Linked DNA regions of Notamacropus eugenii. The protein of the gene in region 2 purifies or fractionates together with the protein of the main gene of each other region. This does not show direct contact. Links are inferred from orthologs where the notes say so. Each region holds a gene or a part of one and is shown on either strand. Other genes may lie near its edges.

Region 1 (7,200 bases), on a different chromosome or scaffold from region 2:
CATCTGTCCAAGTGAGCCTCCTGCTGCCCTATGCCAAGCAGGCCGGCCCTGGGAAGATCCACCTGAGTGAGCCTCCCGGTGCCTGATGCCAAGTGGGCTGGCACATCCCTGTGAACGGTGGGCACTCCCAGGGCGAAGGAGAGTGCCCAAGCACAGGACCCCCGGGCACATTCGCCTGAGTAAGCCTCCCAGTGCCAAGTGGGTCAGCGGCGCCTCACGCCCCCACATACCTGTAGCACAGAGCGCCACGAAGGTCTGCGCGTGCTTGCGGATGATCTGCTTGTTCTCCTCCAGCGCAGGCATCTTGGACAGAAAGTGTTCGATGAAATCGTGGGGGGTCATAGCCGCCAGGTGCCACTTCAGCTTGTTGACCAGAAGCAGCTCCATGTGCTAGAAGGAGAGAGCACGGGTAGTGCAGGGAAGGGGGAGGGGATGCCCCAGTATGCCCCTGGGGATGGATGCCAGGATGGAAGTGGAGAGGGGGCTGCGCCTCCCCCACCCAAGGAAGGAGGCTTCCTAGGGACGGATGACCAGCGGTCACCACGGGAGGCGGGCGGGGGAAGGGGGGGTGCTGTTTCCAGGAGTTCAGACAAAAGGACCTCCCACCATCTGGAAGGAGAGGAGCCAGGCTCAGGAGCCGCGAGCACGCGGAGACACCGCTAGAGGGCAGCCGCTGCCCACTTTGTGGCCACGTTAGCTCGGTATAAACGTGGTGGCTGGAGGAGGGGAGGGGAAGGGAAGGGAAGGGAAGGGAAGGGAAGGGGGGGTGAGGCAGGGGCGCATCTTGGGGGAGGGCAGGGATAGGGCTGGAAGTAGGCAAAAGGGCTCGCGCTCTGTCTCTGCCCAGCCAGGGTTCTCTCCTTGGGGAATGATCACGGGCCCCATTCCTAACCCCCCCAACCCAGCAGAGAGGACACCCCCTCCCAAGGGCAGCTTGCAATTCTGGGGGCTGGCTGGTCAATGCAATTTGCAAGCTGTGACCTAGGTGGGCAGCAGGCTGGGCCAGGGTTAGGGGCATCCAGGTCTGCTGCCGAGGCCCAGGGGCACCCGACCACCCCCCTTTGCCCCCAGGAAGCTAGGGCACAGCAGGCATCATTACCAGCAGTTCCTCAGGCCGCACCGAGTGGTCCGTGTAGATGCACAGCTTCTCTGCCGTCAGGGGGATGGTCTCCTTCATCTTGGACGCCACGAACATGCAGGTGGCCCCCAGCAGCTGCAGCCGGCTCTTCTTCAGCGGCTCCAGGGACAGGAACCGGTCCAGATAGTTCATAGCCAGGGGGAAGACTTCCTCTTCGCATTTCTGCTCCTCACACACCTGGGGGTGGGAAGGGGGATGGAAGCAGGACGCCAGGGACCCCCAACCCTCCCCGCCCCCCAGAAACAGAAGGCCTGCGATCCCTGAGACACCATCCCCACCCAGCGGGACTGGAGGGGCCCGTGAGGAGGGGGCCGTGGAAAGTGCAGAAAGACCAATCAAGTCAAAGTTGCCCCCCCAAATAAAAACCCAAAACAAAAGCGAGGCCCGAGAAACTGAAAGGAAAAGTGGCCGACCAGAGGGCAAGGGAGCGGGAGGGGGGAGTGGGGGGGCACGGGTGGGGCGGGATGTGGGGGGGCTCCTCCGGGGTTCCTTCCCCTGTCCCCTGGGGGGTACCCTGGGCCCAGGCCACCCGAGGGGAGGGGGCGGCCGGCCTGGCGGCCCCGGGACCAGCGGCCGTGGCCCGAGACACAAAGGTGGCGGCGTCCCCACGCAGGCGGCGCGGCGGCCGCATTTCCCCAGACGTCATCTTTTCAAAAAATATTTAAAAATATTTAAAAAATCGCCCGGCACGTACAAAACCGCTGACAATGAGCCCCGGGCGAAGCGTGAGCGAACCCCGGTCTCAGGGACCGCGTAGGATCTGCTGGGGGCACGTGGGGAGCCCCGAAATGGGACGCCCCCCCCGTGCCCGCAGCGCGCGCGGCCGCCCGCCTCTCTGCCAGCCGGGGCAGCGGCCGCGCCTTCGGAAATTAATTAAAAATACTCAGAGGCCCGAGGGGGGCCGGCCGTGTGTCCGACAATGGGGGACAGGGTGCCCGGGGTCCACCCGCGCCCATCTCGAGCCCCCCCGGGGGCCCCAGCGCGCTCCGGCCCCGGGGCCCCGCGATCTGGCCCAGTGCGGCTGGCTGCGGCCGGGAGGCCAGGACCCCCCCTCCCACCTACCCACCCGAGGGCACAGTTCCCGGAGCGGCTGGCCCGGGCTGCCCCCGCGCCCCCTCCACGCGTGCCCCCTCCTCATTATTAATAAACACTTCTGCTTCGCTATAAATGCGCAAGATGGCGCGGAATACTGGCACGGGCAGCCCCTGCATACGTGTCCTTGGATATTAATTTAAAATAAAATCCCCCCCCTGCCCCCTCCCTCCCCCCCGGCCCCGGGCTCCCCGGCCAGCCGCCTGGCCATCCCAGCCCGGCGGCCCTCGGGCTGCCCTCCCGTGCGGTGCCGTGCCGGGCGGCCGGGTCCCTTCCTTCCCACGGCCCCGGCGGGGCGGGGGGCGCGCGGCGGAGCCCCACCAACCTCGAGCATCCAGGTGGCCACGATCTTGCGCATGTAAGGAAGGATGTCCTTCTGCACGCACTTGAAGTACGAGACGGAGGGCGAGCACGTCTCCTCGGCTTTGAGCATGGTCTGCAGCGCCCGATCGTTGAGAAGGTTGGCATCGAGGTACGCCCGGCGAATGGTCTCCACCTCGCAGCACAGCAGCTGGTGCTCCATGGCCGGCGGCGGCGGGCGGGCGGGCTGCTCCCGGTGCTCGGACGGACGGACGGACCGCTGGACGGACGGGCGGCGGGCTGGACGGCGGGAGCCCGCTGCTGCTCGGGCTGCGGCTGCGGCTTGCCTCGCGGTGCGGAGCGCGGGGGGCTCCGGGCCGGGCCGGCGGGGCTGGGGACTAGCCTCTCGGGGCCCGCCTCGCGGTGCGGAGCGCAAGGCTCGGACGTTGCGGGTGCCGCCGGGCTGCTCGGCCGCCGCCGCCGCCGCCGCCGCCGCCGCCACCGCCGCCGCCGCCGCTGCTACTGCTGCTCCAGCCTCTGGAGGCTCCAGGACTTTGCAGCTCGCCCGACTCCCCTCCCGTAAGTCCCAGTGACGTGACTGTTGTCGAGCAGAGATCAAAGCCCGGCAGAGAATGAGAAAGGGAGAGAGGGAAGCGGGGGGAGGGCCGGGGGCGGGGGGAGGCGAGGCGAGGGGGGCCGAGGGGCCGAGCCTTAAAGCCATCCAGCCCCTCGCCTGGGCCAGCCCAGCTCCCACAGAAGCCGGGCTCGAATAGAAATGCTAATCACTCCGGGACTAGCTTTCTTTGGGGGAAGTACGGAGAGGGGTGCGGGGGAGCCGGGAAGGAGGGGGTCCCCCGCGCTTTGTAAAGGGCAGCTCTTGGTCCTGAGTCGTGGGACAGACCCTGGTGGAGGCCAGGCCACCCGCAGCCAGACGGCCAGGCAGACACGTGAACTCTTAGCGAGCAGCCCCCCGCCCCAGCTAGCCGATGACCAAAGGGGCTAAAGGGGATCGGGAGGCGGGGGCAGGGGGCGAGGCCTTTTTCCCCCTTCGATTTCAAAAATCATTTTGATTCACTGCTGTAGACACTTGGGAAGCTTCTTAGAACGCCCGCATGTATGCGTGCCTGGGCACAAAAGGCCAGCAACTCCCTTGCAAGCGATCCTCCCCTGGAAAAGACAGCGTTTCAGCCCACACTTCCCGGCGTGGGACCCCCAGCTCTTCTGGCCCCCGAAGAGGGCCACAACAGTCCGGGACAACAAAATGGTGGTCAGCATTTCCTCTGGCCTGTCCTAGTACTAAGAGGAAGACTTTAGCCAGGGGAGGGAGGGAGGGAACTCCAGGCAAACCACCTTTCCCCCGGCCTCCTTCCACCTCTCTTCCCCTCCCCACTCAGGGGAATTCAGCAGCGAACCTCTGAATCCACAGGCAGGCGGCAAAATTCCGTCCTGCCTCCTTCTGGGGGAAAGAAACAGAAAAGAGATTGAGAGGGGAGAGGGGGAGGAGAGATCAATAAAAGAGAAAGAAAGGAGAGAGCGAGAAGAGAAAAGAAGAAAAAGAAAAGGGAATGAAAGGGAAGAGGGGAAAGAGGCTCAAGGTGGGCCCCCTCCGTCAGCGCGGGGTGGCCAGGGGGAGCGCACCCAGTTTGGCCAGGGGCACAGTCTTGGGAGGACTTTGGTGGGTTTCAAAGGGAGTGGACAAGAAATTAACAAAACGTGTTCAGCTCATCCGTGGCTCGCTCCATGTGCCTGACAGCGCCTCAGAAGGAGCTCAATAAGTGCGTGTTTCCTCCCTTGGTCTGCAGTGGACCGGCGCTCGGGCTTTCTCCAGCCCAGGGGCGTACACACGCCCCCCTCCAGTCTGGGCCCCTCTCCCACCTTCCTTCGAGATCCCGTTCATTTCACTGAGCCGGGCCGGGGCCCGCAGGCAGAGCCTGGGAAGGGTTCGGAGGGCTTGGAGCGCCTCGAGGGCCCTAGGGTGTTGGAACGCCACGCGTAGCCTCGAGCACGGGTGGGCTCCCCACCGGGCTCAGAGGCCTGGGGAGGAGGCCACGGTTCGGCGGCGTGGAGCCGGCCACCCCGCGCCGCCCACGCCGGGGCCCGACGTCAGCGCCGCCACTCTTTCATTCATAAAATCGCGGCCGTGGGACTGCCCCGCTAAACTGTAGGGCCCCAGGCGGGCTGCGACAGACCCCCGAGCCCCACCGCGACGTGGGCGCCCCCGGAGTTAGCCCCCGGCCACCCAACCGGCTCCGAGGCCGATTCCTGGAGGGAGCTTTCCCCCCTCGCTGGGTGGAAACCCCAGAGGAAGCTGGAATTAGCATTAGCCAATAGGAGACAAGATGTGTTACCAGGCGGATCAGGCAGATCTCAACGAGGAACTAACAGGCTGCATGGCCCGGACCCAGGGACCGGCGCTAAAGTGCACGGTGCGCGGAAAAACGTGAAGACCCGGGCCGCAAGGCCGAGCTCCCCTGGGCCGTCTAGGCTCTGTGGTCCGGTGCGGCCCTTCTTGGGGGGCGACAAGGAGAAGCCGGGGCTGGGAAGCGCTGAGTACACCCAGCCAGTTCCTTGACACCCCGCGTGGGCCGACCTCCCAAAGCACCCGGGGCTGGGAAGTGGAGTGGGGGGATGAGAAGAAGAGGATTGCAGAGACCCCCGAATACCGAGAATTAGTCTATATTTTTTATTTTCTCCGTTTCATACTGCGCTGGCCCTTTCCAATTCGACCCGACGGGGATGTCCTGCACTACAAGTAGTGGGGGGGATAAGGAGAGGCTCCCGGGAGACAATGAACTGACGACCCAGACGGGAGGGGAAACCTCGTTTACTGACCAGAAAGAGCATAATTAAAACGATCTTCCCATCCGACCCCAACTCTGACTCGAGAGTTAATTCAGGCGGATTCTTGTGTGTCTGACTTCGCTGGGTTGTACAGGATCAAGGAAACGATGGGATGGGCCAGCAGGTAGCGAAATGGGGACATTCCGGGGACCACCCCGCGGGAGGCTGGGGGTGCGGGTGTCCCCCGGGCCAGACGCTTTTCCCCCAACTCCAGGTCCATTTGGGTTAGACAGGAAGCCTTCCAAAGACCCGCCGCTCCCCACGTGGGTGGGGGGTGTGGGCTCACCTGCGGGCGTGTACCTGACGGCGACTTTAAAGGCTTTGCTTTCCCACCCCTACCCATCCCAGGTCCATAGCTGAGTTTTCCTGAAGAATGCCTCAGGGAGCGGGTGTGGCCCTCACCGCCCACCACCCTCCCGTCGACTCGCAGTTTCGGGGACCTATCCCGCAAGTCCCCGGTCCCCAAGGTTGTGTGCGGGATCGGGCTCGCTGGGAGCACATGGTGGCGTCCGTCTCTTCTGCCAACATAGCTGGGGTCAAAAGAGGGGGCCTGGGGACCCCCATTCGTCTTCCCCTCCCCAGTCGGGCACGATAAGCTGCTATTAGAGGGGGGCCTCCTGCAGCCCCTCCCTGCCCTCCCCGCTGGGACGGGAGGGGCCTCATAAAACCGACCCGGAGTAAGAACTCATAGCCTCCCTCCTCCGGGCGAGGGCCCGTGGGTGCCCAGGGTCACCGGGAGGGATGGAGGAGGTGGTGCTGGGGGGGCAGCCCAGAGTGCGCCCCCCCATAACCTCGCACAGCCGTTTGTGTCACTCCGTCCCTCCCCGTCCCCGACGGCGGCCTGGGCGAAGGCAGCGCCCCTGCCGCTGCCCCCGTCCCCGCCTCGGCGGGGCCTGCCGGGTCCTGCCCTTGATCTCCGGGGCATTGTTCTGCAGCCAGAGCCTTCGCATCCTTTACCTAGGAATTTGAGAGGGGGCGGGGGCGGGGACTCGGGGAGGGGGCGTCGCTGCGAGTCATGCAAATCTCAGCTTAAGGAAGTTCCAGGGGAGGGAGCGACAACCCACCCCCCATCGCGCGTGGGCAGGGCTGGGACTCGGGGGCTGGCGGCTGCCCGCGTGGGAGCGGGCCGCGGCTAGGCCCGGCCAGTCCAGGCTCGGCCCGGCCCGGCCCCGGGAGCGGCGAGCGCGCGCGGCTATCGCTTTAATTGAGGCTCGGGCTCCGCTCATTAAGAGGCAGCGCGGCGCATTCCGGGCATTCCAGCCGGTGCCTCCGCTCCCCAGGCCACGTGGTGCCCTTATCACCGCCGCCTACCGTAATGCCTGCAAGAGGCGCGCCCTGGCCCAGCGGGGACGCGACGGGACCGGCCCGAACGCCTCCCTCTCTGGGAGTGGCCGTCGGGGCTCCTCTCGGCTCCGCGCAGCCCCGAGCCCCCGGAGGTTGCACCAAGGCCGTAGTAATGACACCTCTGTTAACCCCCGACGGGAGTGTTCTGGAGCGGTTCTAGGCTTGCAAAGTGCCTTTCCCATCCCTGGACCGCGGAGCCTCCAGGCTCAGGCAGGTGGATGTGAAGCGACGTCCCTGGGGTCGAGCAGCTGCTGAAGTGTCCCAGGCCGGGGCTCCTGGACCTCGAGCCCGCACCCCGAACACGGTTCCCATCGCCATCGCACCAGAGAGTGCCAAACGCCTCCTTCGGTTCGTAGAGAGACCCCAGCAGGGAGGCCCCCCTAAGCATCCTCGACGCCTCGCCCCTGAGCAGCCGGGGAGGCTGGACCGCAGCCTCGGCCGGAGCTCCTCCTCCGGCCCATTTTCCCAAGCAGGTTTTTAACTCT
Region 2 (7,469 bases):
GGACCCTGAGGTAGAGCTAAGGAAGGAATGAATTCCAGACATGGGAGATGACCAGTGCAAAGGCATGGAAATGAGAGGTGGGCTATCTATCAAAAAGGAATAAAAAGGCCATTTTTGCAGAAGTAAAGTCCAATGAAGTTGAAAAGATAGGTTGGAACCAGGCTGTGAAGGGCTTTAAAAACTAAACAAAGGAGCAACAACAAAAAAAGCTGTAGGAAGCCTTAGTATCTGATTAACAGAGCCACATAGTCACATTGACACTTTGAGAAAATTTCTGTAGCAGCAGTGATTGTGGTTCTGGTCTGCTACCATAAAGGAGACTTTTTCATTGGCTGGGGATTCATAACCAGAAGTGGAGAACATTCAAGGGGTGCTAGTTCATCTTCTCTAGGTTGGACTAGAGAATGGACCAATCAATAGGCTGATACAATAATCTAGGTAGGAGGGGAAAATGATCATTTGCATAGCTCCTACTAGGTAGATGCTATTATTAGCTCCATTTTACAGATGAGAAAATTAAGGCACTTAAGCGTCTTGCTCGGGATCATACAGCTAATAATAATAACTAACATTTACATAGTGCTTACTATATTCCAGATGCTTTGCAAATATCCCATTCGATCCTTAAACAATCCTGTGAGGTAAGAGTTACTATTATCATCTTCGTTTTACACATGAGGAAACCCTAGGGTCACACAGCTAATAATTGTCTATGATCAGATTGGAACTCAGATGTTTCTGATTCCAGGCCCTGCACCCTCAGCTGCCTCTAGGTTGATAAAGTAGTCACTGCGTGAGTGGAGAAATGTTGTGGAGGTAGAAATGGCGAGATTTGGCGACTAATTGGATAGATAAATGTAATGAAGAATGGGCAGTCAAGGGTAATTTCGAATTTACAAACCTCTGAGACTGGTACCTTTGACAGACATAGTGAGGTTTGGAAGGGGGGGTTTGGGGAGAAAGATAATGGGTTAAGTTTCAGACATATTGAGGTTGGTATGTCTTGGAAAGAATCAGTTTGAAATGTTCCATTAGCCACTGGTGATGAAGGACTGCAGCTCAGGGAGAGATAGGCTAGACATTCTTATCTGTCAATCTACATGGAGATGGTAATTAAAGTTATGAGAGTTGATGAGGTTCCCTAGAGAGTGTAGAGAGAAAATAATACCCCTGCTACTCATAGCATAGCCTTCCGAGCCTATTACCTTTCAAATACACTCAATTGTCTGCATTAAGAGTTGGAGATATATAGAAAAAAGTGAAAATAGTCCCTGAATTCAAAGAGCTTACATTCTACCATTGGGAAACAGATGGTGTTTTGCATTGTTCCCTAACTATACTATGTAGGCAGTGAGAGCTACAAGAAATCCTAGAGATCATTTCTGGAGTCCAGTGCCTTTCTTTTTTTGTCATCTGTAATGGGATATGGGCCAGTGAGTCCCAATGCCTACGAGCATGTGTAAGGTACATCTGATGCAATCTCCACAAGGACTTAGAGAAGAAACTCTGTAACTGGTTCTGGTCTACTTACCATAGAAGAATTTTTAACTGGCTGTGGCTTCATAGTTCAGAGTGAGGAGCATTGAAAAAGTATCAATTAACCAGAATGTGCCCTTCCCTAGGCTGACTTCTTCCTGTTGGGTGACCTTCTGGTGAGAAGGGAAAGACAGAGCTATAATGAGAGAGGCCTCAGCCACTCTTTATCCGAGTTGGACATATAGGTGGAATAAGCAGAAGTTAGAAAGCTTAGAAAAAATTGTCATACTAAGCAATCTGATCTTTTAAAATACAAAACACCTACATCTTCCAGACTCCTCAGGAAAGTTTAGATGAATTAGTCTTTTAACTCATTTATATCTTTAACTATACTATTATTAGTTTTCAAGTTTCATTATTATAATCTATAATTCATTTTTCATTCTCAAGTCTCCTTGTCATTTTCTTTTAAAATTTATTCTTAACATTCATTTTTAAAAAAATTTTGAGTTTCAAATTGTCTCCCTCCCGCCTGCCCCCTCATTAAGAGGGCGAGCAATATGATATCAATTATTTATAGGAAATCATGCAATACATATTTCCCTAATACCCATGTTGGGAAAAAAAGGAAGAAAAAATAAAATGAAAAATTATGCTTCAATCTGCACTCAGTGTTTATCGGTTCTCACTCTGGAGTAGATAGCATTTTGGCATCATAAGTCCTTCAGAACTGTCTTGGATCATTATAGTGATAGGAGTAGCTAAGTCTTTCACAATTGATCATTGTTATTTTATTCCTTTTACTATGTACAATGTTCTACCGGTTCTGCTCACTTCATTTTACATCAGTTCCCAGGCTCTTTGGAAACTACCTTGTTATTTCTTGTAACACAAAAAGGTTCCATCACAATTATATATCACAACTTGTTCAGCCATTCCCCAATTGATGGGCATCCCCTCAATTTCCTTTCCTTTGCCACCAAAAAAAGAACTGCTATAAATATTTTTGTACTTATCGGTCCTTTTCCTTTGATCTCTTTAGGATACACACCTAGCAGTGGTATTGCTGATTCAAAAGGTATGCACTGTGATAAATTATAGCCCTTTAGGCAAGGTTCCAAACTGTCCTTCAGAACTGTTCAGTTCACAACGCCACCAATAGTGCATTAGTGTCCCAATTTTTGTGTAGGAATACATTTAACTCAATAGTGATACAGTAAGGAACAATATAAGGGAAAAAAGATATAGGGATGGGAAATAGAGGGATTCAGGGAAGGATTTGCCATAAACAAAACAAACCCTAAGCTTGGAAAGAAGGGATCATGAACAGGAGGTTAAAGGAAAGAAAGAATAACAATCTCTAATAAAGTGAGTTTGAGGAATAAAAATGAGAAAAAAAAGAAAATAGAATGGAAGGAAATAAATATAAAACTATCTTGAATGTAAATGCTTGACTGTGGTTATGTGATACAGGGTTCTTTATTTCTTTTCTCAGTAGGAGGGGAGGTAGGAAGGAGAAAAAAACGCTTGATTATAGAAAAAAAATTTTTCCGTATAGCTTTAACAGTTATGTGAAAGATGTATTATAGACATGAAAGGAGCAATATAGATAAGGTGAAAGGTGACAAGGACCAGAATTAGGAGGGTGTCCATGTCAATGGAGAGAAGGCGATTGATGTGAGTGTGGAGGTAGAATTGAAAAGACTTGGCAACTGAATGAATATATGATGTCATGGTGAATACATGATGAAGGAATGGAGGATGCCTCCAAGGCTGAAAACCTGGGTGACTAAAAGGATAATGGTGCCCCCACAAAAACAGGGAAGTTTGGAAGAGGAGCAGGTTTTGAAGGAAAGAGAATTAGTTCTGTTTTAGTGATGCTGAGTTCTACATGTCTGTAAGACATCCAGTTTGAAATGTCCAATGGCAGTTGATGATGCAGGGCTGGAATTTGCAATATATATCTGGGAGTCGTCTTGGTAGAAACAAAAATTTAATCCATGAGAGTTCATGAAGTCACTAAGAGACAGACTGTAAAGCAAGGATTCCCAACCTCTTTCTGGCCCCCTATCTGGCTTTCAATAAATCCTTCGGTACCTCCTTTCAGTATGAAAGGAAATAAATTCTAACGTTTACTATGCATATGTACGTACAAATAAAATGTAGAGATGAATTTTCCATAATGAAAATTTTATTTCGCACATACCATTTTTAGCATTATAGTTACACTCTCTCTTCAAAACTATTTTTCCCCACTCACACTACTTCTTTGGGAATATTTTAAAGGGATAATAGTTACTTACCAAATAATTTCTTTACCCTGTCCTCGGTCTCCTAGCATCCCCCAAGAGTCAACCTACCCCAGGTAGAGAAAGTGTGGGGTGGAGAGAACAAAGCCTGGGGGCGGAAGGCGCTGGAGAATGGGGCAAGGAGACGCCTCGGTACCGAGCCTCCGTGACTTTGGGCCAGTCACCTAATCTCCCTTGACTTCAGTTTCTTGATGTCAAAGAAAAGGGGTGGGAAATGAAATCCAGCTACGTTCTCTCTCTTCCAGCCGCGGACACACAGGTCCACTTGGTTTAATCCAACAAGCCACCCGCTAAAGGCATACAGAAAGAAAGTTATTGGTACCTAAGAGTTTAAAAGAACCTTCCTCACTGGATCCAACCTTTCCATTTGACGGATGAGAACCTAGAGAACGGGAAGGGGCCAAACATCCCCTGCCCACCAACTGGCCAGAGCACGTCCATGGTTCTTTAAAAATTACAAGTCCTTGGGTGAAGGTAAGGTCTTTCTGTTGTGTTCAGAAACTTGCCAGCAAAAAAAGGTCGTGGCAAACGTTACTGCCCATTACCCTAGAAAGAAGGAACGTGCATTATCCATGCTTATCGTGTGCCACGCACTGTAACGTACTATTTTTTCTGATTAAAACATGAGTGAGCCACGGCTTGTGGAGCCAAAGGACCCGGGTTGGAAGGCGTTTTGCCACTTGCTACCCATGTGACCACCCCGGGCAAGTCATTTCAGCTCCAGGAGGCCTCCGCTTCCTCGTCTGTAAACTGAAGGGATTAGATGAAAGGCTCTCCAAGGTGGCTTTCAGCTCTAAATCTCACTGTCCGAGGAGTGAGCCACCTTCCTGGAGTGAGGTTTTAAACCAAAAATAAAGCCCCCGGCCCCAAACCAAAAAGGATTGAGAGGAGGTGAACCTGAACAAGCCCGGGCAACGAGGAAAGGCGGGGTAAACCTGCTCCCTCTGATTGGCTCAGGAGGTTTAGGGGGACCTTCGCGATGGGATTGGTCGAGGGAGCACCAGTAGCGTTAGGGAGGAGGCGGGCGGTTACGCCGTGACGTCATAGCGGCTTGCCGGCGAGCGCGCGAGGCGGAGCAGCGGAGCCTCATTTGGTTAGAGGCGGCGGTGGTGAGTGCGTCTCTGCCCCCGCTTCTGCTCCCGGGCCGAGGACCTCGCCTCAGTGGGTGAGCCCAGCCCTGTCTTCCCCTCGAGCCTAGGCCGCTTGGTTTTTCCTCGCTTCTGCTCTGGTATCGCTGTTCGCCACCATGTTCGAGGCAAGGCTCGTGCAGGGCTCCATCCTCAAGAAGGTGCTGGAGGCGCTGAAGGACTTCATCAATGAGGCCTGCTGGGACATCAGCTCGGGCGGGGTGAACCTGCAGAGCATGGACTCGTCCCACATCTCCCTGGTGCAGCTCACCCTCCGCTCCGAGGGCTTCGATACCTACCGCTGCGACCGCAACCTGGCCATGGGCGTTAATCTCACCAGGTGAGCTCGGGCCTCCGGTGCTGTAAACACAGTGTTCCCTCCCCCCGCCCCCGGGCTTCTCCCCGGGTTCTTGGCGGGAGCGCAGCCGAGCGAGGTAGTTCTTGCTGCCCGGGCCGGGGAGCGGTGGGGGGGGGGGAAGAGGCGGACGCGCCTCATTGGTCCTGGCGGCGGCAGGGGGCGGGGCCGGGCCGAAGCGCGCGGTTTGGGGAAGGGGAAGCGCGCCCCGGCCGCCTCCCGCCAACGTCATTTCGGCGCCAAGCTCACAATGCGGTCGGAGGGGCTGTGGCGGGAAGGCTTGCGTCCGATGCCCTCTATTTAAAGTGAAAAGCATGTCCGCTCCACGAGAGGCCTCGTGGCCGGAGCGAGCCCGGCCGAGGGAGGCGGCGGCGGGGCGCCTGTTAGGGAGGGCCGGCGGGCTGTGCTGCTTAACAAAAACCGGGATCGGCGTTCGGGTAAGGAGGGAGATCGGCGGTGCCTCCTGCCACCGGAATGTGCCTGTTTACGTCCACCGTGCATCTGCGTGTGCCCCGTTACAGGGCCGGCTGTAACCCCTCCGGGGCTTTATCGATGAACGTGTTTATTTACTGCTTGTTCTCCGTTGTCCAGCATGTCCAAAATACTGAAATGTGCCAGCAACGAAGATATTATTACCCTAAGGGCCGAAGACAATGCAGATACGCTGGCGTTGATCTTTGAGGCACCAAGTAAGTTTGTCCTATAAACGCGTACCCCGCTTTTTAGTTATAACACCAATACTGAAATATAAAATGGCATCTTGTGTTTTATTTGTAGATCAGGAAAAAGTTTCAGACTATGAGATGAAATTAATGGATTTAGATGTTGAACAGCTTGGAATCCCAGTAAGTATCGGAGATTTCTTGTCATATGTCTCATTATAATAGTTAAATAAAATTAATATGACCAAAGTCAATCTCTAATACTTATATATTTAGGTTCTAATATGTAAAGAAAATTTTTGGCATGAGAGAAAATCATTTTTAATAATGTGACATTCATTTTAACTTAATATGTACTACATTGTATATCTATTTAAAGAAATAAAGGGTTAAATAAGTCTAAAATCAGTGTTAAAATTCTTTGATTTATTAAGAATGAATAATAATAACAAAAATAATACAGTTAGGATTTAGAGCTAGAAGCCAATTTAAAAGCTTATTACCATACAGCAAAGCTAAACAAGTTAAATGTTGCCTGAGGTCGTAACTGAGAGTAAAGATTTGAGCTTCAGGTCTTTACTCTCCAAAACATTGGTTTCTACCACACTAGACAGCCTCTTTCCTCTTAATTTCCCTTCATTCGATCTCTACTATAATATTTGTATCTTAATTTTTAAGCTCATTAGACTTTTTTTTATTAATAACAGTTTATAAGGAGCTTTTCGTAGACTTTAATCATTTCCAAGGAAATATAAATTCTTATTATCTTCATCAAAGTAGAAAAGTGATTGGATATTAAAATTTCTAATATAAAAGTAACTAATTTTTTTTGGAAAACAAGTTTTTGTAAATTATACAGCTACCCATATACCCTTTCTGTGGCCCATCTTTATGTATCTAACAGGGCTGTTAATATTGATAATCTAGTATCTAGTAGGGTGACTGGTATCGAAACTCTTGGTCATTCCAGAATACATTCAAGAAAAATAGATTTGGCTACTCATAGCTATTAAATAGTTAAAATAGAATTAAATGTGCTTTTCACTTCCTTTTACATCAAATATTCCTTGAAAAGATAGTTGTACTCTTAAGCTTTCCTAAATAAATTATTTAATTGTCATAACTTAATTATCTTTTTGGAGTAGGTGTTATTCAAAAGAATGCAATTTCATAGCTCTTAATTCTTTCAGCAAATGAGATCGATGACATCTAAATATTTAAACTCCTAAATCATATTCAAAGCTGTTTTTGTATTACAGGAACAGGAATACAGTTGTGTGGTCAAAATGCCTTCTGGTGAATTTGCACGAATCTGTCGGGATCTCAGTCATATTGGAGATGCTGTTGTAATCTCATGTGCAAAAGATGGTGTAAAATTTTCTGCCAGTGGAGAACTAGGAAGTGGAAATGTAAAATTATCACAGACAAGTAATGTTGACAAAGAAGAGGAAGCTGTAAGTCAAATTTAAATCTTGAGAAAATAATTTAAGTACAGTGAATTAGGATATTGGTAAAGCAAAACCTATCCAGAGTTGAATAA
Region 3 (7,841 bases), on a different chromosome or scaffold from region 2:
CCCCTAGAGAGTCCTAGATGTTCCCTTGGGACGCCCCAAGATGGCACCTCGAGATAGTCTCAAAACCTAAGAAGCTCCAAGTGATAACTATTTCTATTTGTCCCTACAGATAACTCATAAAGTTCCCCCGGACTATACAAATACCTTTGTGTCCCCTATAAACAACCAAAAGCCCCCTCCCAATTAACAGATGTCTGCACTAAGCAGCCCTGACAGATGTCCCTAGATGTATCCTGGTCAGAGTCTCAGGGGTCCCTAGAGCCAGCTCAGAAATCCTCCAGGAACAATCTTGGACCCCACCCTCCCAGAGAGTTTCAGCATTCTCCCTCAGATATCTCCTAATGGAATCCTATGATGGCTCTTACAGATAACCTCAGCTCGCCCTCCAAGGTATCCCTTACAGATACCTCCAGAGCCACCCTCTGCTCCCCTATCCCCAAACATCCAGACCCCATGAAACACTCACGGCAGGGCCCCTCAGTGTCAGACACATCACCAAGATATTCCACGACTCCCCTGCTCCCTCTGATAATCCCCAAGAGATGCCACTGCCCCAGCCCACCATCATAGAATCCCCAAGTTCTGAAGGGGTAGCAGGAGCTGCCTGAGCAGGAATGTCCTGGCCTCATGGGGCCAACAAGTAGCTGTGGTCATCCATCCAGCTTCCCTTCAGAAGCTCCCCACCCTCTGGGTCAGCCGGTCCTCTTACTACCTTCAGCGGTCAGGAAGTGGAAATGCCCATCCTGGCAACTCCTATTCTGCCCCAGGGGTTAAACGGGTCTAGAGATAGCTTTCAAAGACCCCTGGACAGGTCATCTCTCCTCCAATTCAGCCTCCTGGCTGCCTCCTAGTAGACACTCATCTATGTCCTTCCTTGGCTGGGGTGCCAAGAACTAACCACCATCCTGAAGACAATGATATCAGGCCAGAGGGCAGCAGGACCCCCTACACTGCCCCCCACCCCCACCCCTAGCCCTGCCCAGTCCTCCTGTGCACTGGGCCAAGATCATCACATTTGCTTTCTTGGCTTCCAAGGATGCTAGGAACTTTTCTATCAGAGTGTTCAGAAAAGCTGCCGCCCAGCTTAGGTCCTCTGGGACCCACACATGGCTTCAAGTGTCTCCCTATTTATATTTATTCTGTAAAGACAAACTACATGTCCACTACAGCATAAGCTGCTCAAGAGGAGGGATGGATCATTCTTTGCATTTGCATCCCTGCCTGGCATGGAAGAAATGGGCAGGACCTGACAGACCCCTGGACAATGTCACCCTTAGATTCAGCCCACAGTCTTGCCCCCAGGAACTCTCTGAGTCCCTCCTGATGGCTGTTGTTAACCGTCTCTCCTAGCCCTGCATCATCTGCCCTGACAATCAACAATGCCAGCCAATTCTTGACCAAAGTCATTAATGCAATATTGAAAGAGTACCTATTCTGGGGCTCCCCCAGGGTGCCACAGTGCCTTCAAGACCACCCACTGGGGGTGACCACTCAGCCCCTTCTGAAGCTGCTCCAGGTGAGTGAGGACACTACTCTCCACCTTGTCCACAACATGGCAAAGACAGTGGAGGCTTCACCCAAATCTAGGTAGACTCTGGTTTGCACCTAGCAAACCTCTGGTCTGTCCTGGAAAGCTGGCTCTTTGTGATCATCACCTTCTAGAGGGGAGAGGGTGCCCACAGACACCGGCAGAGGCCCCCAGGCCTCCTTGAACCTCCCATGGATATTCAGAGATGTCTGCTACTAACCCCTTTGGTGAGACATTCCTGACGTCCTCAGTATCCCCTATGGACACCCCTAGAGCCTCCCGTAATAAAGTCATTCCTGAAGATTCTATTGATGTACCATATCCTCTGTCCATAGCAAGGACTTAAGTGCCCCATTAGACCCTCAAAGTCCCCTACAGACATTCCTGGAACCCTCACAGACATGATAAATGTCATGTATACACCCCCAGGTAGACCCCAAAGCCATCCCATAGAAAGCCTAGGGGCTTCCCACTGACATTCCCAGGCTGACCCCATAGACATCTGAGGTGCCCCCCATAAACACCCCCAGGGGCTCCTACAGACACCCTCATAAATGCCTCCAGGGGCTTCCTCTAGACATCCCCATAGATATCTGAGGTGCTTCTTCTAGACACCTCCAGGTGCCTCCTATAGATATCCCCACAGACATTCCCAAGTGCCTCCCATGGATACTCCTCTAGACACCCCCAGGGGCTCCTCTAGACACCCCCAGGTGCCTCCTATGGATACTCCTCTAGACACCCCCAGGGACTCCTCTAGACACCTCCAGGTGCCTCCTATGGATACTCCTCTAGACACCTCCAGGTGCCTCCTAGAGATACCCCCACAGACATTCCCAAGTGCCTCCTATGGATACTCCTCTAGACACCCCCAGGTGCCTCCTAGAGATACCCCCCCAGACATTCCCAAGTGCCTCCTATGGATACGACCCTAGACACCCCCAGGGGCTCCTCTGGACACCCCCACAGACACCCCCAGGTGCCTCCTATAGACACCCCCACAGACACCCCCAGGTGCCTCCTATGGACACCCTCATAGACGCCTTCAGGTATTTCCTCTAGACGCCCCTCCCCCCCACAAACACCCAAGGCGCTTCCTCCAGACACCTCCAACTGCCTTCGCTAGACAATCCCAGGTGGCCCCTACAGACACTCCTGGAGTCCCCTAGATAACCGGAAGTCCCTCCCGCCGGGCCTCCGTAACCGGAAGTCCGCAGAGACCTATGCCTCCTCCCCCTCCTCCGATTCTCTCACCGGATCCTGGCTGCTGCACGACACAACGTGGCGGAGGCGGATCTCGGGCATGGTGGGTCTGGGGGCCAGGAACGATGAGACTTCAGAATCCAAGGCTTCTGGACCAGGCCGCAGCCTGGGAAGGAAGAGGCCGCTCTTTCAGGGCAGCACTAGTGCGCAGGCGCGCGGACTCCCGGGCCTGTTCAAAGTCGGGAGCGCGCTCCCCGCAGCCGCGCAGGCGCACTGGCCCTGCTCCACTGTTTCCCCGGCCGGTTCCGTCCCCCCTCCACCTCCCCCCGCCCGTGGCCACTCTAGGCTTCGCTCTCTATGACCCGTCCTTGCTCTAAGCCCGCCCCATGACCGGACTGACGCCCCAATTCCACCTTTCCTTGGGCTGTCCCTCCAATAGCCAGCCTTTGTTCCTGGCCTCTCTATCCGCTCCTCTTGCCTCTCCTCTCCCCGGCCCCGCCCCCTCCGACACCCCGCTCTAGCCCAGTCTCTCTATGGCCGCCTTCCCCTGGCTCCACCCCTTTTGTATGACCTAATTAGCCCTTCCTCTCGCCGACCCGCCCCCAGGAGCTTACCGCCCATCTCCCTCATTTCCCGCCTCCTGGGCTTGGAGCCCATTCTTATTGGTCACTGCATCCCTGTTCTCTTTTCCCATTGGGTGGCGTGGTCCGAGGGCGCCTCCTCCTCGCTGCCCAAGTCGAAGGATCCCAGTGCTTTGCTGCACCCCAGCTCAGCCCAGTTTAGTTTTGGAGGAGCCCTTGCAGGTGTGGAGTGGGCGGGGCCATGCAGACCCGTTCCGAGCCCCATTAAACCCAGGCAGCCTCAGATCCAGCCCAGGCATCTGAAGCTGAGCCTACGTCATCGGATTCGAGCCCAGAGAGGGGCAGCGACTTACCTGAGGTCACACAGCAAAGGGCATAACTAGAACCCAGTACCTCCCCACCCAGAGCTAGACCTGGTTTTGTGAAGGGTGCCCTCTGACGACAGACTATTTACAGGCCCAGCTATTAATTTACCATTCACCGCCCCCTGAACTCTACCCTTGGGGAGGTTTTGTGGATGGGGGTGCAGCTTGTACATAGATCAATACATACAAAGTAATTCTGGGGGGCAGATCAGGAGGAGCTTCCTGGAGGAGGGGGCGCGCAATGACCCCCTCTGGGGCCAACTGTTCACCCTGGAAATGGACCAAGGCTGCACGTCGCGGCTTGAGCCCTTAAATGAGGGAGCAGATGTCAATAACGCGGATCGAACTCGCCCCTCGGGTGCAAACCCCTCCCCCACCTCCTGCGGGCACCCCAGACCCCACCGAGCGCTTCCTTTAACTGTTTTGAATCTTTGCTATTTGCTTTTTTTTTTTTAAGCTAAAAAAAAGTCTTTCTCGGAGATTCTTTTTACACCCGACCTCAACCATAACTAGGACGGGGGCTGATTCCAGAATCCAGCCTGAAAGCTACCATCGGGGTGGAGGTGGTCCTGGGGAACACCGGTCTTGGGAGCTGCCTTGTGTGAGCTCAAGTTTGGGAAGATGAGGGGGTCCTTGGGTGTCTGAGCCGTCAAAAGACGAGGAATAAGCTGTAGAGAAAAGAAGGGCACCATGGACAGGGCTCGCGGGAGTCCGGGGAACAGCCACAGGTGACCCAGCTATCAGGGTAGCGTGGGTTAAGTAGGTGGGGCTGGGGGCGGGGCTCGCCTCAGGTGTGTTTTCCTCTTGCGCGAGGCCTAGGTATCTCTGCCGAGGAAAACAGTCATCAGAATTTCCGGGCATTGCCCCGACTCCCCTGCCTGGAAATGGTTCCCGTTCTGGAGACGACTCAGACCTTAGAATAAAGAGACTCCACGGTGCTTAGAGCGCTGAGTCTGGAAGACCTAAGTTCAAATCCAACCTCAGACCCTGGGCAAATCACTTCAGCTCTGACTGCCTCAGTTTTCACATGTGTGAAATGGAGCTAATAATAGCACTTGCCCCCCAGGGTTGTTGTGAGGATCAAATGAGATAATATTGGTAAAGTGCCTGGCACTATATTTATGTTGGCTATTAATTTTTGAATTCTGCATTATCTGTGGGGGTGAAATATACCTCCTTTCATCTTACGCTGTCACAGCGGTGTAGACCTTCATTACCTCACTTTTGGACTATTACTGCTGGGGTGGAAGGTGGTCTGCTTAGAATCTCTCCCTGCTCTAGCCTGTCCTCCCTTCAGCCACTAACATGATTTTCTTAAATCACAGATTCAGTAATGTCCCTCCCCTGCTCAAGTGGTTCCCTATTACCTCTAGGATAAGATACAAAATGCATTGTTTGCGGTTGAAAGCCCTTCATAACCTGGCCCTTCCTACCTTTCCAGTCCTCTTACATCTTACCCCTCCACGTGTACCCTTCAATCCACTGATACTGAGCCCCTTTCCACTCCAACTGACCTCTCAGGCTTGAAGTCCCAACCAAAATCCCACCTTCTATAGAACCCCTCTTACTCCCAGTGCCTTCTCTCTGTTGATTCTTTACTATTTATCTGTATATCATTTGCTCTGTATGTTCCTTTTTAGGTTGACCCCCCCCCAATTAGACTGTATGTCTCCTGCCCTCCTTGAGGGTAGGGACTGTCTTTTCCCTCTTTTTGTATCCTCAGTACTTAGTTTGATGCCTGGCATATAGTTGGTTGTTTGACAGACTGAATGAAATGAAGGCTGTCTTGCATCTCCTGTAAATGTATTGCTACCTTGAGTGCTTGTAAAGGATTTGAGAGACCCTTTTATACACATCTGTGGAACCCTAGCCAGGAAGTATATTCTGAGATTTCCCAGAATGAACCTGGAGGGAGTAGAGGTGGACAGCATGAACCAACTCCCCACCCCCACCCCCAAGCTCAAACCCAGGCTGTGTAAATCCAGAGTTTTGGTCCAAGGTTTACAGTGACCTAACATCCAACTTCTGCCACTTTTTCAAGAGCAAGATGCCCTCTGTGGAACAAAACTTGAGTCATGCCCCTGTTCCTTGGCCTGATGAATCACTTGAAAATCTGCTGCTGCTCTTGGCTCTGGCCATATGATGAAAACTGAGGCAGGGCACAAAATTCCCATCCATTGATGGCAAATTCTCTGGTTTTCACCAGCCTTTCAGCTCTCAGGTGTTCCTCCATGTGTGAGTGGCCCCTTTCCCCAGCATGTTACAACCTCCCTTTCCCCACCTGTTTTCAGACACCTGGGGGAGGGGGTGTGTGCTATGGGAGACAAAGAACTCCCAGTCACTTCAGTCTCTCCAAGCTTACAAGCTCTTTTGAAACAGCTCCATGAGGTAAGCATCAATGATCCCATTTTACAGGTACAGAGGAAGGAGAGAATGTGATTTGCTCAGGGCAATGGCAGTATGTGAATGGGAAATCATCAGAACATAGGATTCCCCAGTTTGGGTTGCCATCTTAATTATGAGATTGTAGATTTTGAGCTGGTAGGGATTTTAGACTCCATCTCTCCAACAAATGGAAAAACTGAGGCCTTGAGACAGGAAGGAATCTACTGAGATTAATCTCAGTTTCTCCATCTAGAGCATGAGGAGGTTATACCTTTAAGGGTCCTCCCAGCTCTGACATTCCAGGTTCTAAGGTTCTCTGCCATTCCATCTTACAAGGTCCCTTCCAGCTCTGACAATGGAGGATTCTATGAAGTGACTAGGGGCTCCCCCTGTCCCCACCCTCCCCCAGGGACTTGTACCCTGCCCCATCACGGGGAGGGGTCAAGTCTGGGGGCAGCAGGTAAAGAACTCTGCACATAAAGACAGGAGTGTGAGCAGGTCTTGGGGGTGGAAGGACCCAGACATCCTGGCCCCCACATCAACGTGTAGGGACAAGCTGGGCAAGGGAAAGCTGGTTGGAGAAGCTGGGCAGGGTAGGGTGTGAGTCATTAAGAAAACTGGGCAAAAGAGAAGGAGGGACCCTGGGACTTTGACTCCTCCCAACACTAGCCTCTTCCCCCCAAGCTTTGCCATCCTGTATGGTAGAAGATGGACCAAGGACAGGGAGGAGGGAAGGAGTATGGGTCCCAGGATCCTCTAAGGTTATCTTGGTAACTGGGACCAGACTGGGGGGAGGGGCAGGGATTGGGCTGGCCCTTCCCCCTGCCACTGCCCTTCTATAAGGCCTGTGGGCCTTGATCTAGGAACAGACATCATGAGGATCACCAGGAACCCCCAGCTGGGCCTGTTGGCCCTCAGCCTGCTCTGTACCCTTTTGCCCCTTGGTGAGTGCCACCCCAGCACCCCTGGGTTGTGGGTCCTGGACTCTAGGATCTGGGGAGGGGATAGAAGTGAGGAAGGGTTCCAGAATCCCAGGAAAGTAACTTCATAACATGTTTCTCTCAGTGGGATCCAGGTCTCTGGACCTCTTTCCAGAGGTCCTACAGGGGACCATCCTACAGGGAAGTCCCTTTGGTGTCTGGCATCTAGGCATTTGAGCCTCCAGCACCTGGGGGAAGACAAATGTTTGAGTCCTCCATTCCCTCAGGGAGTTAGGAATCTAGGTACAAAATCACCAGAACACTGGGGACCTAGGCATTTTGATCATTCATGCTCTCAGGTACCTCATTCCTGGACCCCCCTGAGCTAACAAGAATGGCTAGTAGGGCTAGCTCCTGGGTCCGTGACAGCTGCCCCCTCCCCCAGCCCCAAAGAAGTACCTGCCCTCTAACCTCTAACAACAATCCCCCTCCAGTTCCAGTCCAAATTCTGGACTCAGGCGTCCCCAGCCATGTAATTACACAATGCAGCCTCAGACTGAGTGGCTTCCTGCCGCCAGGGGATAGTTTGGTTGTGAGTGTCCAGGGACTCCCCCATTGCTCCACCCAGGTCACAGGACCTGGTCATCACAGGAACTCAGTCATCCAGATCTCCAGCAGAGACCCAAGAGTTCTGATCCCCCCATCCATGTCCCCTCAGACATCCAAGGTTCTTAATCCCCCCAGCCCATTCCTTCAGAGATCCAGGTCTCTGGTTGCCCATGCTTCTGCCTCCTCAGAGACCCAGGGGTCCTGATGGCCCAGTCTTTCCCCTCAGCTCAGTCTCTGTATTGTGAGGTGT
Region 4 (6,994 bases), on a different chromosome or scaffold from region 2:
CATTTTTATTCTACTGTCAGTTCAAACGTTTGTGCAAGATAATACCAATAATGACTCAAGCCCAAGGTATGGTATAAAGATATTATTGAAGAAATAGAAGACCAGAAAAGGAGATGGTTCTGTTATATGGTGACAATGAAGACTACTGGGCAGACAGCCTAATTGTGTCACTAGTACCTACTAATGTTAAAAGACCTAAAGCAAGCCCTCGAGCACACTAGGTAAACAAACTATGAAGGAATTTTAAGAAGATAGGGGAAAAAATAGCGCAAAATAAGAAAGCACAGATGGTTGCATTCTCTGCCACTGAAGAGAAATGTGCCATCATCCCACAAAAATGAGATCAGGCATCTCAGTGAAACATCAAAAAAATTCCTTGCACATGTGGGCTCCTCTTCTGAAGTCCTCCAACGACTCGTCACAACATGGAGCACATAACATGTCCTGAAGAACCTATCAGTGGAACACAAATGCCACCAGGGCCAATATAATCAAGGACCAATCTAGCTAAGTCCCAGGAAGCTCATCAGTACAAGTTTGGCTACCAAGTTACAAATTTTTCTAAACACAGAAATTCATGAAACCTGTACTACATGTGAAAACTGCAATCTACATTTGCAAGAAATTAGTCACATGGATGAAATCCCTGGTCTTTTGATGTATTAAAGTATGCCTGAGCTGCTATGGACAGATGGATCCTATACCTAGAGTTCTGTCAACGTGTGTGCCTGAGAGGATAAGAACTTGATCTCGCAGCTATGTAACACAATGGGTTTTACATTAGACTTGGAGTCAGGAAGACCTGACCTCAAACACTAATTATCTGTAGGATGCTGGGCAAGTCATTTCACAACTCCGCCTCAGCTTCCACATCAGTAAAATGAGACTAATAACAGCACCTCCCTCCCCAGGGCTGTTGTTGAGGATACTTGTTAAGTGCCTTACAAAACATCAGAGCACTACATAAATGGTAGCTGTTATTATTAGCCATTATTACCTAGTAATTCTCTCACTAGTACACCTAGTACAGCACCAGGAATAATCAGAAGCTTACAGTCAATGCTTTACTATAAACTTTCCTTTACATCTTTCCAGCAAGGTAAAAAAAATCATATCTAGGTAAACAATTGCTTATAAGATTTTCAAGCTATATCTCACTTTCCCTAAGTTCTAGTACCTATGGAAAACAATGGGCCTTGACTCTCCAATTTAAACATAAACAAATAATTCTCCTTCCTCTTTTTAAACACTTTCTTCACACGTATAAATTTTTTTTTAATAGAAAAAAATGGCTGATTCTAGCAATCACAAATGCTGGATTAAAAAGAACCATCTGGGGCACCCCCAAAGAAAAGTCTATAGATAGGCTATAGAAAAAAGCACAATAAATGAATCTTTCAGCATGTTCCAAAGGAAACATTCTAGTCACAAGCCCATCAAAGCAACATAATCACAGCCCATAACTTAAGAGGGGTTTCCAGATTGCACAGCATCACCCAAGCAGTGATTTTTGATGCTCCCTGATGAAGTTCAGTTTTTAAAAGATAAAAGAAGAGCTTAGCAGCAAATCACTGCTTAAGTGACAGGTCAGGATGCACGTTCATCCATTTCCTCTGTAATGCAGTCCTGACAGTTCCCCACACCAACGAGGTCTACCACACTGTCTTAAGGCTTCAGTCTCCACTGTAGCAACTGCTGCAAACTGACATCTGTAATTTACAAGTAGGTGAATGAAACTGAAACTGATTAGAAAGTTTTCATTAGTAAGAAAGTATCCATTTGACAAGAGATGAAGACACTGGGCCAGGAAGGCAAAGGCCCGTCAGTCATCGGATCTTTAGAAGGAAAACAGACTCAAGACTCCTGACAACTCGTATTCACTTGAAAATCCAGTTATTTGGATTAGGGTAATTGTGCAGTTTCCAACTCTATTTTAGGGAATTCAAGATATCCATTCCGGAGTATTTCTCTGATAAAAGAATACTAAAATATGAGCACTAACTTGTAACCACTATTTTTAAGCATATTAGTAAACGACCAGAGGGCAAACATTATTATTACCCCCCTTTCCTTGGATGAATCTGAAAACCATTTTAAAATGCATAAAGTGGAAAACTATCCCCTTAGAAGCCAGAACACACTTTTCCTCGGCATGGCACTTAGGAAATGTATGGGATATACTTGTGCAGAAATAATGACCACCGTCTGGTCCAGATTCAAACGGGATGTTGCTGAGCTGTTCTAGAGACACCACTGGAGTGAAACAGGCAAAAAAATGAAAAAATAAAAGCTCATTTCCTAAGGCGGAGCGCGCAGGCACAACGTGCAGGACACTAGGGGTGCCCCACAGGGACACCCAAAGTTCCAGTTACATCGAGAAAGAAGGTCGAGGAAAAGGAGTGCGGCGGAGAGACCGAAAGGTGCCCGAGAAACAGCTCCTGCCCCAGATTCCTCATCGCTGGGCCTCAGTTTCCTCGTCTGTAAAACCAAGGCACCGGCCTTGAGGATCTCGGGGTCCGGGGGCTGCGGCCTGAGCGGGGGACGCCCAGCGCGGTCGGAGCGGACCCGCCCCCAGCTCCCCCAGGGCAGGATGAGGAAGGAGGAGCCTCGGGGCTCCCGCGTCCCTAGACGCAGGTCTGCCACCTGGTGATGCTGCCACCGACGGCCACCGCGCCCGCACTCTCCGCCGCCCCCTCCCCACTCCCCAGACCTCCAGGCTCCCCCTCCCCCACGAGCGCTCGCCCCGGTCGGGGCCGGAGCCTCTCGGGCCGCCGCCACCCTCCCCGCCCCGGGCCCCCTGGGCCCCGGCCACGCCTCGGTCCTCACCGCTGCTCCCGGGCTCGCGCTCCGCGCCGCGCACCGGCGCCATGGTCCACGGGCTCCGGCTCAGGATTCCGCGCCAACGCGCTGAAACTGGCGCGGGGGCAGAGACACGCGCCGCCCCGCCGGCCAATCAGCGCCCGCCGACGGCGGCCGACTTCCGCCCGGAAGTCCGGGGTCGCCGGGCGTTTCTCGGCCGTGTCCCCGCCCTAGCGCCGCCTCCTCCTCCAGATCCCGGCTTTCGGCGCGCTCCCGAGTCCTTAGACCCGCGGGAAACTCAGACTGGGCCGAGAGCGGAGAAAGAAAGCGGCCGGGCGCTTGAAAGAAGGCCGGCAGGGGGCGCATGCGCAGTTGGTCCAGGGCGGGAGGGAACGAGAACCTGCCTGGAGAGGGCGGCTCTCGGGTTCTAAGACTCGCCTTCCCTGAAACTAGGCGCGGGCGGGCGGAATCCGCGCGCTGGGGGGGCCCTGGCTGCTATGCGGAGGTCTTCACCCTATCGAACACTGAGTGCGACCAGATCCTTTCTTTTATTGTTAGACGGACGGGGTGGTGGTCAGTTCGAGGGCAGCGCCCCGCGCCTGCCCTTCCTCTTTCTGCACTTGGACTTTGTCCTCTCCGCCTGTCTTCTCTCTTGTCCGCAGCATCCCTGCGCCTAGAACGTGCTCCCCGGAGCCAGCCGGGACGATCTACAGGGTCAGCAACGCCCGCGGTGCCCACTGAGCCCACGCGCCTTCATCCACTGAGCCCACGCGCCTTCTTCATCCGCGTGGCCAACGTCCGCGGTGCCCACTGAGCCCACAGGCCTTCATCCACCGAGCCCACGCGCCTTCATCCACGTGGGCAACGTCCGCGGTGCCCACTGAGCCCACAGGCCTTCATCCACTGAGCCCACGGGCCTTCTTCATCCGCGTGGCCAATGTCCGCGGTGCCCACTGAGCCCACGCGCCTTCTTCATCCACGTGGGCAACGTCCGCGGTGCCCACTGAGCCCACAGGCCTTCATCCACTGAGCCCACGCGCCTTCATCCACGTGGGCAACGTCCGCGATGCCCACTGAGCCCACGCACCTTCATCCACGTAGGCAACGTCCATGGTGCCCACTGAGCCCACGGGCCTTCTTCATCCACGTGGCCAACGTCCGCGGTGCCCACTGAGCCCACGGGCCTTCTTCATCCGCGTGGCCAACGTCCATGGTGCCCACTGAGCCCACGGGCCTTCTTCATCCGGGTGGCCAACGTCCGCGGTGCCCACTGAGCCCACGGGCCTTCTTCATCCGCGTGGCCAACGTCCGCGGTGCCCACTGAGCCCAGCGCCTTCATCCACTGAGCCCACAGGCCTTCTTCATCCGCGTGGCCAACGTCCTCGGTGCCCACTGAGCCCACAGGCCTTTGCCCACTGAGCCCACAGGCCTTCATCCACTGAGCCCACGCGCCTTCATCCACGTGGGCAACGTCCATGGTGCCCACTGAGCCCAGCGCCTTCTTCATCCGCGTGGCCAACGTCCGTGGTGCCCACTGAGCCCAGCGCCTTCATCCCCGTGGCCAACGTCCGCGATGCCCGCCGAGCCCCAGCCTCTTTCCCCTTGCCCTGTCTCAAGCCGGTACAGGCCTTAGGACCTGGAAGGAGATTTAGAGATAATCACATCGAACCCTTTGACTGTACAAATAGGAGACTTATTTTTGTGTTCCTAGTCCGCAGCGCAATGCCAGGCACAGACTCTTAACTGTCCTTTTTGTGTCTGACCTGAGCTTCCGCTGGTGTGTAGGGAATGCCTGATGAGCCTCTTGGAGAGCTCCCTGAGTTTAGTCAATCAATCAGTAGACGTTTATTAAGCTCCTAATGTGTGCCGAGGGCCGGATGTACAAAAACAGGCCAAAGACGGTCCCTGCCCCCAAGGCAGTCATAATCTAATGGACAACATGCGAACCTGTAAGGTACATCGGCATGTGAATCCCCATGCTGTTTTGATGTTGGACCTGAGATATAATAAGGATGGTAATAATAGCTAGCACTTAGAGAATGCTTTAAGACTCACAAAGCACTTTACCTATATTATTTCATTTGAACCTCAGCACAGCCTTATAAAGTGTATGTTACTATTTTTCCCACTTTATGGATGACCAAACCAAGGGGCCACCTAACTGATAAGTGTCTGAAGCAGGATTTGAACTCACTTTCCTGACCCAGAGTAGAGTGTTGTATGTTGTAAGTCCCCTTGAGTCACAGAAAGAATTTCCTTATATAAGGAGCTCACATTCTAATGGGAGTAACCACATACATAGGAGATTTCAGATAAGAGTCTGATGGAAAGGTCCCATGATCTTTAGGGAACAAAGCAAATTGTCAAAGATGTTTAAAGTCACTTCCACTAGATGACAAATGTTGGAGAAGATGTGGAAGAGTTGGAACACTAATTTATTGTTGGTGGAGCTGTGAGCTGATCCAACCATTCTGGAGAGCAATTTGGAACTATGCCCAAAGGGCTACAAAAATGTACATACCCTTTGACCCAGCAATACCACTTCTAGGACTCTATCCCAAAGAGATCATAAAATTGAGAAAGGGTCCCATACATACAAATGTATTTATAGCAGCTCTCTTTGTGGTGGCCAAGAACTGGAAATCGAGGGGATGCCCATCAATGGGGAATGGCTGAACAAGTTTTGGTATATGAATGGAATGGAGTATTATTGTGCTATAAGAAATGAGGAGCAAGTGATGCCTGGAAGGACATGTATGAACTGATGCTGAGCGAAATGAGCAGAACCAGGAGAACATTGTACACGGTAATAGCCCCAGTGTGCGAGGACTGTTTCTGATAGACTTAGCCCTTCACAGCAATACAGGAACCTAAAACATTCCCAAAGGACTCTTGAGGCAAAATGCCATCCACATCCAGAAAAAGAACTATGGAATCAGAACACAGAATGAAGCAGACTATTTTCTCTTGTGTTGTGTTTTGTTTTGGTTTGGTTTTTCTCATGATTTCTCCCATTCATTTTAATTCTTCTATACAACATGACTAATGTGAAAATGTGTTTAATAACTGTGTATGTGTAGAACCCATATAAGATTGCATGCCATCTGGGGGGGGGGAGAAAATTTAATGCTTAGGGAAGTGATTGTTGAAAACTGAAAACAAATGAATTTTTAAAAAAATAAAGTCACTTCCACTGATAAAATCATATCCCCATGTCTGATGTTGACCCATTTGACAGTGCCAAGGACTTTGGTAGCAAGAATTTTGTTTTCGAAGTGTTCAGTAGGACAGCCTTCCATCCGTCAAGGCTATAAAAAAGCTCCTTCCAATAGTATTCCAATATTTAAACTTCGGTTATCTACCCATGGCTCTTAGGTGATGATTTAGAATGCCATTTTTCATTCTTGATGGAGAAGAACAGCAGTTCCCTGATAAACTTATCCACATGGCAGATGGTTCTCCCTCACCCCAACAAGGGCAACTGATGCCACCATGGCGACAATATTTTCTTTCTTTGGTACTTCTGCTTAGTCATCACTCATGTGGCTCATAGTTTGGAAAGCTGCCACCCAACTGCCCTGCATGTCTTTCTTCTTTGGAGCTCAGTATGAAAGGAGACAAGGATATTTCTAAATTAGCATGACAGTTTCTGTTTCATAAGCTTATCAAATACAAACTTATTTGTATATTTTGTTTTCTTCTGACTCACAGCAAGAAAAAAACTAACCAAGACATTGAATTTTGTGTCTTTTGTCCAAATCCAGTTTTTTTGTTTCTTGACGACTTGCATTTAACACAGTGCTGATATGTGGTAGATATTTAATAAATGCTAGTTGACCGAATGAGAATATGAATTCTTTTTCTTTTGTCTCAGACTGATTTTCCTAGGAATGAAAAATTAGGAATGAATAAGCAATAAGAAGGACAGCTATATGGTACAGTAGATAGAATGCCAAGCCTGAATTGAGAAAGATATCTTCCTGAGTTCAGATCTGACTGTGGGACCCTGAGCAAGTCACTGAACCTTCTTTGTGTCAGTTTCCTCATCTATAAAATTAGCTGGAGAAGGAAAAGACAAACCATTTCATTGCCTTTGCCAGGAAAACCCCAAATGAGGTAGCAGAAAATTGGATGTGACCAAAACAATAGCTGAACAGCAACATAACTAACAAGAAATCTTGTAGCATGTGAGCTG

The links.
Region 1: the proteins of PCNA (region 2) and CCND1 purify together in Homo sapiens (affinity purification with western blotting; 5 studies listed by BioGRID and IntAct, with this or other methods). This does not show direct contact. The link is inferred for Notamacropus eugenii from reciprocal best matches to the Homo sapiens genes PCNA and CCND1.
Region 3: the proteins of PCNA (region 2) and XRCC1 purify together in Homo sapiens (affinity purification with western blotting; 3 studies listed by BioGRID, with this or other methods). This does not show direct contact. The link is inferred for Notamacropus eugenii from reciprocal best matches to the Homo sapiens genes PCNA and XRCC1.
Region 4: the proteins of PCNA (region 2) and POLA1 fractionate together in Homo sapiens (co-fractionation; 3 studies listed by BioGRID). This does not show direct contact. The link is inferred for Notamacropus eugenii from reciprocal best matches to the Homo sapiens genes PCNA and POLA1.

The regions. Positions count from the first base shown.
Region 1 is NC_092873.1:21,909,720-21,916,919, reverse strand, and holds the start of CCND1 (G1/S-specific cyclin-D1), read right to left. Parts: upstream 3,008-7,200; 5' UTR 2,754-3,007; coding exon 2,556-2,753; intron 1,316-2,555; coding exon 1,100-1,315; intron 391-1,099; coding exon 231-390; intron 1-230. UniProt on the Homo sapiens protein: Regulatory component of the cyclin D1-CDK4 (DC) complex that phosphorylates and inhibits members of the retinoblastoma (RB) protein family including RB1 and regulates the cell-cycle during G(1)/S transition.
Region 2 is NC_092872.1:632,582,282-632,589,750, reverse strand, and holds the start of PCNA (proliferating cell nuclear antigen), read left to right. Parts: upstream 1-4,466; 5' UTR 4,467-5,031; coding exon 5,032-5,252; intron 5,253-5,858; coding exon 5,859-5,956; intron 5,957-6,044; coding exon 6,045-6,112; intron 6,113-7,188; coding exon 7,189-7,383; intron 7,384-7,469. UniProt on the Homo sapiens protein: Auxiliary protein of DNA polymerase delta and epsilon, is involved in the control of eukaryotic DNA replication by increasing the polymerase's processibility during elongation of the leading strand.
Region 3 is NC_092876.1:25,376,926-25,384,766, reverse strand, and holds the start of XRCC1 (DNA repair protein XRCC1), read right to left. Parts: upstream 3,013-7,841; 5' UTR 2,834-3,012; coding exon 2,783-2,833; intron 2,726-2,782; exon of another isoform or gene 2,636-2,725; intron 1-2,635. Other genes in the region: PINLYP (phospholipase A2 inhibitor and Ly6/PLAUR domain-containing protein), read left to right, coding at 6,937-7,006, 7,818-7,841. UniProt on the Homo sapiens protein: Scaffold protein involved in DNA single-strand break repair by mediating the assembly of DNA break repair protein complexes. Negatively regulates ADP-ribosyltransferase activity of PARP1 during base-excision repair in order to prevent excessive PARP1 activity.
Region 4 is NC_092876.1:452,201,443-452,208,436, forward strand, and holds the start of POLA1 (DNA polymerase alpha catalytic subunit), read right to left. Parts: upstream 3,015-6,994; 5' UTR 2,870-3,014; coding exon 2,827-2,869; intron 1-2,826. UniProt on the Homo sapiens protein: Catalytic subunit of the DNA polymerase alpha complex (also known as the alpha DNA polymerase-primase complex) which plays an essential role in the initiation of DNA synthesis.